Stegostoma tigrinum: one gene and its partner. The protein of the gene in region 1 purifies or fractionates together with the protein of each later gene. This does not show direct contact. Links are inferred from orthologs where the notes say so. Each region holds a gene or a part of one and is shown in the gene's direction. Other genes may lie near its edges. The genes, in order: zeb2b and mta2.

What was found.
Region 2: the proteins of zeb2b (region 1) and mta2 purify together in Homo sapiens (affinity purification with western blotting; 3 studies listed by BioGRID and IntAct, with this or other methods). This does not show direct contact. The link is inferred for Stegostoma tigrinum from reciprocal best matches to the Homo sapiens genes ZEB2 and MTA2.

What each region holds. Positions count from the first base shown.
Region 1 is NC_081360.1:80,650,301-80,654,211, reverse strand, and holds the start of zeb2b (zinc finger E-box-binding homeobox 2b), read left to right. Parts: upstream 1-1,271; 5' UTR 1,272-1,885; intron 1,886-3,419; exon of another isoform or gene 3,420-3,597; intron 3,598-3,869; exon of another isoform or gene 3,870-3,911. UniProt on the Homo sapiens protein: Transcriptional inhibitor that binds to DNA sequence 5'-CACCT-3' in different promoters. Represses transcription of E-cadherin. Represses expression of MEOX2.
Region 2 is NC_081395.1:3,149,730-3,153,640, forward strand, and holds the start of mta2 (metastasis-associated protein MTA2), read left to right. Parts: upstream 1-1,346; 5' UTR 1,347-1,430; coding exon 1,431-1,458; intron 1,459-3,911. UniProt on the Homo sapiens protein: May function as a transcriptional coregulator. Acts as a component of the histone deacetylase NuRD complex which participates in the remodeling of chromatin.

The sequences.
Region 1 (3,911 bases):
AACTCCATAAACTTGGTTTACATTTCGACAGAATCCCCCTTAACCAGGTCATTTTGTTCAAACAATTTATAAATCCAGTCGTTATAACGAAGCAGCTTGAGCTACCCTTAACCATTGATGTTGAAATAATTACAGGAGTTAAAAAAGAGACATCTCGGGAATCAAGACTTTTTCAGATCTCTAGGGAGCTCACTTATATTTCGTTACAGAAACCACAACATCTCATAAATTGTACATGCTTAGGAAAAGATCTCAGCGTCCCTCCCATTCGTGCGATAATAGAGGACGGGCTTCGATGAATTATCAATCCGATGTCTTATCACCCTCTGTCTGCTGATTGAAAACTTAATTAACCAAACAGGAGTTAGCGACATGTCAGAACGCTTGGGGCTGTGACAGAGCCAATGGTAGCATTGCGGAGGCTGAGCTTTTTTGGACTAACGGTGAGAAGCAGATATTCGGACAAGTACAACCAGTCAGTAAAAGTAGGGGAAAAGCGCACAGACACAGTGGCGCGGATAAACGCACATGAGCACTTACAAACATAAGGCATTTGGCAACCACACCCCATAAACCCAAATCTATGCGCTGCTTCATCCCAACAACCTCACGAAATCCCATCCTTGTGGGTCGTGGTTAAGTTAAAACCAGGTATTCTTTTATTTCCCATGTGAATTCGTCAACTTAATGCGTTAACCCTTTGGCCGCCAGTGCGTTTCACACCGCCCAATGCCCACACCCATCATTTTTAGATCGGTTACTTGGGGTTAGAGGGTCAGAACGGTGGTTTGAATAATCTTAAGAGTTTGCTGTTTAAAACCAAGTCCTTAAAGATCAGGATAATTAAATTGCAAATCACAAGACACTGGGAGAGAACAGTCTACAAGGGCCATTCCTAAAAAGACTCCCACGTTTTGCTTGAAAATCAAAAGTTCCCACGGTAGAAACCCATAAAAGTTTTTTTTTGTGAAGAGGTTATTTCGAGTGTCGCATTCTGTCGGGTCGGAGACGAGCTGAAAAGTTGGACATTTCAGGATTCGGACGGAGTTGGCCAAACAAAAAAAGACGCGAGCTCCCAAACTTTCGGTTAAATAATAAATGTTATTGAAATAAACATGTGTGCGTTTGGAGCGGGGTAGAGGGGGGGGAGAGGTGATCTGTAAAAAAAAGAATCAACCCCGGTACTGATCCCGAACGCCAGCCTCATCTGGTGAACATAGCGATGCATCCAGCTCTCCCGCTGCCTCGCCTCTGTGTATTGAATAGGAGTTGGAAAGGACTGGAGTTTTTTGCTTTGACTCACTGAGCAGCGCGGGGCTGTGTGATCAGGACATTCAGATACAGCTAACCCTGTAAGAATGCCATTTCAGGATTACGTCGATCGAGGGAGAGAGGCAACTGCATTCCCACTGGTCACCAGCCTTCCCCCTTGCCCCGTCCTCTCTGCTGATGGCTGTGCATTGAAAAGGTAATTTAATCCAGATTCGGACTGGACACTCAGAGGGAGAGAGAGGGAGAAAAATGTTTGAAAACGTCACATCTACCGATGATCACGTTTACGGATCTTCAATTATCCCTTACCACGAAGATAGGTGGCGTGCGTTTCTGGGGCCGCACTTCAGGGACTCTCTTTATAGAAAAATGTCATTCCAACAAGCGGAACACGTCAGTCCGTCCACAGGTTGTGTTTCCTGGTGTGAGAGACAACGGAGCGATCAGTTCTAACCTGCACAGCAGGAATAACGGTCCTTCCTCAAGTCTTTAAGGGTTTCTTCTTTTCCCTTTCCTTTTAAACAAAAATCTCGCCTTGATCTTCATGTTCCTTTATCTGCACGCTGTCGACCTCCCAGCAGTCTTACTGAACAACAGAGCCAGGACAGAGCAGGTATTTTAAACATTTATCTATCTATTTACAGATTGAGATTTTGTGCGCAGGTATTGTTGCGCGAGTGGAGATGAACTTTAGAGATTTTTTTCCCAGCCGACCCCTCTCTGATCCTGCCTGCATTTTAGGCGCAAAACTTTGTTCAAGTACCTGACATCCAGGTGTTAGAAAAAGGTGCTGAAAGGGGGCAAAATGAAACATGCCCGTTAACTGATATGAATCTTCGCACTAAAATGTCAGTTTTTAATTTTCCTTCCAGGACGCGTGTTTCTGGTTTTGTGATTTTATGTTATTTTTAGTGAGCAATAGGTTATTGAAAGGAACCGTTACCTGCAGAGACAGCGCCTTACAATGTGTTTGCCCCTCATTGCAGCTCCAATGTAGATCGGAAATTTCGAGAGATTAGACAAAATCGATAGATGTTTCTTAATTCTAAACGATTGATTTCAGAAAAGGGGACGCGGTTTGTAAATATACAACCGAGTGAAACAGTCCGCGTCCCCAGTTCGCTGTGAATACGTTTGTTGCCAAAACTTTGAATCGTATTTTGAACTGAGTGGTGCTTCCACTTTTGTGTGTGTGTGTGTGTGTGTGTGTTGGACTCTCAGCTTTAAGGAAAGGAAAACTGCGAACTTATGGACTGGTGGGAGGGGGAAGGTGGTGGCGGCTGACAAAATTCAATTAGAATGGCAAAAGAAAAGTGAAAGGTGGGGTTCGTGTTGAAGGCGAGTTTATGGCTAAGTGTTTTCTGCCCAGAATTCAAGGGACCGGGCGATGTTTCAAGTGTACTTCATTGTGTAGGAGCAGCCGTAATTGCTTATTTCCCCCTTTCACTGAAATAAGTAAAAAAGTGCAGTTGTGTGTGGCACACTGATGGCATTTTTCACTATGACATGCTTGGTCGCTTATGTGAATTTATTACATAAGCTTAGTCAGACTGGCCATTTTTTGAGTGATCTTATACTCTTTGTTGCTGTATGCGTTTTTTTAATTAATGTGGATTGCGGTCGGACTTTCATATCTACCAGGAACAGGAGTAAATATCTGCACATTGAACGTATAGTTTGTGTGCGCTGGCCGCTTGTTTGATGCGAACCTTTTTTTTGGAACAGCGCCTGGACTGGCCCCCCCCACCCCCATTTTTCGTTTCGGTTTGAATTCACAACAAAACGTTTATAAAATGATCATTTCCTGCCCTGGTTTGCCTGGCGTAAATCAGTTGTGTGTGTCCTTTAATTTTTTAAAATTTTTTTTTGAAAAAGGACATCTGTAAATTTGGGGGAATTACCACAATCATGTCATATCACAGTTACACTTTGCCTACATGAGCCGGAATCACCTTTAATCATCGCGGGTGTTTGATGCTTTGCGTTTTGTGTGTGTGTGAAATGAGGATTTGTAATAGCTGTGTTTTTTTTACGGGGAGTGTTTTGAAAAAGTAAATAAAAAGAGGCAGAAGTGTAAATTCCAGAGAGGGCGGAAATGCATAGATGACACCGAGTCTGATCTCAGCCGGCACCGTTAGTTTGCCATTCAACACCTCAGTTTGCAGACGTTGCTGTAGTTTAACGATCCCACGTTTCCTACAGTCAGGAGGAATAAAAATCAAACATTTTTTTTCTGAGAGGTCCTGCAGAGCAGTTCAATGCCGGTCCTCACGCCCAACGAACGGTACCATCGAACGTCCTGCTTTCCGCCTCTTCCCCCATCTCGTAAGTCAGCGTTCCCTTCCCTCCGACAAACAAAAGAGTAAAAAAGTCAACAAGAAAACAAGCCCCCGGAGGTTGGAGTGGAGGGTGGTGGAAGGGAGGGGGGGAGGAGGAGGGTGAGAGGAGGAAACAATCGCCTTGTTTTGTCTCTTTAAAAAAAACATGAAAAAGAAACAGATGACGGTGGTCTGAGCCTCAGCTGTCTTTCTGGACAGTCTGAGGCACTCCGCTCCTGTGCAGTTGGCCCCCAGTTTGTGAAGGTTTTAGGGGATAGAGTTAGGGCTCAGAGTTAACGATGTGCGTGTGTAACCGAGAGA
Region 2 (3,911 bases), on another chromosome or scaffold:
GTGGATGAGGGGTGTGGGTGGAGTTGGGACTGGGTGGGGTGGATGAGGGGTGTGGGGTGGGGGTGGAGTTGGGACTGCGTGGGGTGGATGAGGGGTGTGGGTGGAGTTGGGACTGGGTGGGGTGGATGAGGGGTGTGGGTGGAGATGGGACTGGGTGGGGTGGATGAGGGGTGTGGGTGGAGATGGGACTGGGTGGGGTAGTGAGGGGTGTGGGGTGGGGGTGGAGTTGGGACTGGGTGGGGTGGGTGAGGGATGTGGGGTGGGGGTGGAGTTAGGACTGGGTGGGGTGGGTGAGGGATGTGAGGTGGGGGTGGAGTTGGGACTGGGTGGGGTCGATGAGGGGTGGGGGTGTAGTTAGGACTGGGTGGGGTGGATGAAGGATGTGGGGTGGGGTGGGTGAGAGGTGGGGTGGAGTTGGGACTGGGTGGGGTCGATGAGGGGTGGGGGTGTAGTTAGGACTGGGTGGGGTGGATGAAGGATGTGGGGTGGGGTGGGTGAGAGGTGGGGTGGAGTTGGGACAGGGTGGGATTGGGAGCCTGGGGTGGAGTTGGGACCAAATAGGGGTGGGGCTGGAGTTGGGACTGAGTGGGGTGGATGAGGGGTGTGGGGTGGGGGTGGTGTTGGGACTGGGACTGGGTGGGGTGGTGAGGGGTGGGGGTGGAGTTGGAACCAGGGTAGGGTGGATGAGGGTGTGTGAGTGGAGTTGCGACTGGGTGCGGTGGTGGTGGGGTGAGTTGGGACTGGGTGGGGTGGATGAGGGGTGTGGGGTGTGGGGTGGGGGTGGAGTTGGGACTGGGTGGGGTGGATGAGGGGTGTGGGTGGAGTTGGGACTGGGTGGGGTAGTTAGGGGTGTGGGGTGGGGGTGGGGTTGGGACTGGGTGGGGTGGAGGGTGGGGAAGAGTGACTCCCGTCGCCGGCCCCGCGCGTGCGTCCTGGTGACAACCGCCAAACGTCCCTCGCGCACATTCCCGCCTCCGCGCCGGCTGCCGCGCGCTCCCCCGACTGCGCGCCGGGCAACGTCACGCCGCCGCGTGCCTGCGCTCACTCCGAGTGCGCACCATCGCGTCACTCTGTCGGGCGCTCGCGCTCACCCCAAGTGCGCACGCTCGCTTCACTCAGGCGCGTGCCCGCGCTTATTCCGTCCGAGCACGTTGCCGCGTGACTGCGCGTTACCTCCCCTCTTCGTCCCCCGCCGCGTGCCCGCGCACTGCCCTCCTCCCCCCCTCCTTCCCTCCCCCGGTAGGGGCTGGCCCGGGAGGGGGAGGGAGGGTTCGCTCTTTCCCCTCGACAGAGAAGGAGGGCCCGGAGTAAGAGGAGGAAGAGACCTCCCTCTCCCTCCGCCCGTCTGCCCGTGTCTGCTCCGGGAGGGAGGGACGGCGATCCGCCAGGGAGAGGAGCTCGGCCTCAGGGAGAGAGACCGGGAGGGCGACATGGCAGCCAACATGTACAGAGTGGGAGGTGAGTGAGTTGAGTGAGTGAGTGAGGGTGGCCGGCCCGGCGCTCAGCCATCGCTGCCTCTCTCTGTGTGTGTCTCACCGGAGGAGGGAGGCTGGGACTGGGGACAGAGAGCCTGAGAAACAACAAAGTGCCAGGCAGCAGCTATAAGCCAAACTTTACAACAAGAGGCAGACATGGAAGAGGAAGACAGCAGCTCGAATCAGTGCACCAAGGTGGCGGGGTGGTGGTTTGGGCTCAGACTACAGCCGGCAAGTAGGGGAGAGGGGCTGAGAGGCCGAGGGGGCATGGGCGGGTGGAGGCAGTTGGGGGAAATGTGGTGGCCAGGGACTTGGGCATGTGGGTTATTGGGAGCCAGGGGCCATGGGGGATGGGCTAGGGGGCCCAAACAGGACCCATGGATAGGGCAATGTGGTGGGTTGGGGGCAATGGCCAGATTGAGGTAGTTGGGGTGAAGGGTCATACAGGGGCTGTGGATGGGCGGGGGTTCGGCAATGGGACAAACAAGGGCAAGGTACAAGCAGGGTAAACAGAAACCAGGGCTAAAAAGCCCACTGGGGCAGAGGCTAGGGTGAGTGGCCAAAATCTGGGGTGAACTGCAAACCGAGGCCCAAAACAGGGGCCAGGTGTTAACAGAGCTTTGGGGGTACAGGTTAGCATGGGATTTGGGGATCAAGGCAATTGGCAAACTGGCACCAGAAATAAGATTACAAGCAACTAGGATTTGGGGGTTGGGATGTTAATTGAATCAGAATTTTAGATTTTGGGTAGTTGGGTGTGAAGGGCAAGCCAGGTCTGAACTGGGACAGGATGGGGCGGGGGAGCTCAGGTAGGGTTTTGGGATCAGGCCAAGGGATAAGTGGTGGCTTAGTGGGTCAAGGATTGGGACACGTGCGGAATTCTTGTTTAGAGATCAGACAAGTGAATGGAGAGGCAATGGACAAGTGGTATTGTCACTGGACTGTTAATCCAGAGACCCTGGATAACATTCCTGGGACCTGGGTTCGAATCCTGCCATGGCAGATGGTGGAATTTGAATTCAGTTAAAAATATCTGGAATTAAGAATCTAACGACCATGAATCCATTGTTGATTGTTGGGAAAACCCATCTAATTCACTAATTTTCTTAAAAGAAGTAAACTGCCAGCCTTACCCGGTCTGGCCTAAATGTGACTCCAGACCCACAACAATGTGGTTGACTCTTAACTGCCCACTGAGCATTTAGGGATAGGCAATAAATACTGCCTGGTCAGTGACACCCTCATCCCATTAACTAATGATAAGAAAAAAGAGTAAAATGTCCAGTGATTATGAGACGGACAAGTCAGTGTTTGGGAATGGGGGCGAGAAGTGATTTCGGAGCTTTGGGATCACAATAAAGGGTGAACATTTGGGGACTGAGGTGAGGGACAAACTGAGGCCAGAGACCAGGGCGAGGGCAGTCCAAGATGAGAGGTGCACTCAAGTTTGGAGGTGGAGGTGATGATTAAGTTGTGGGCTTATGATTAAAGTTAGGAGTAAGTCAGTGTTTAGGGATCAGTGGAGGGCTCTGTGGTCAGGAAACATTAAAAAGAGGGTCAGCATGTAAAGGTGCTGAACAAATATTTGAAATTGAAATAAGGATGGCATAATGACAAAATTTGTATGATAAGCTAAAGAAGGATTTCAAACACAAGAATACTTGCCAAATAAAATTAGGTAATAGTCAAAAAGGGGTTTGGAGGTGGGGGTATGTTGTCAGATTTTTGTAGATTTTGGCAGAAGTTCAGGTTGGGGGAGGGGGTTTGGTGGGCATGTTTAGTTGTATACCTCATTGGGATAGACCTGGCACAAGGAGAGTTGGGTTCTCAGTGATAAGCAGCAATCAGGAAATATGAAATAAAAGCCAGAGATTAGAGGCTAAAACTGACAAATGTATACGTGAAATTCTTACAACATGCGGGCAAGCTGAGGAAAGAGGTGAAACTGCTGGAATGAAAGTCGAGATGAGTCAGGATAGAGGCAACAGCAGTCATTTTGGGGTGGGAATAATAACATACAGTCAGGGATAAAATGGAAGGAAGGAACATTTCAAGGTTTAAAGATCAGTGGATCAAAAAGGCTCTGATGTTGTGTGGAGTAAGAGCTAAAAAGAATCAAGGATGTATCAAGCCAGAGCCATACAACTCCATGACCACTGTGTTTGGGGGTTGGGGAGCATGTGGAGGTGTAGTTTGTAAGTTTTGTGAACTGAGGTTGACTTTTGAAAGGTTCCTGTCTAAAATCCCAGTCAGAAAAACAAGATGCAAATTCTCTGTTCAGAGCAGCTGTGGCCCTAATAATGTACCAAAAATCTCTCTCAACCAACTTGAATCCTGACCAAGTACAAGAGACTGCTGAAGGACCAGGGACAAATCATAGTTGGGGAACTTAAAAATTCACCTGGTATGGACAACTTGTCAAGAAAACTTGTGGTT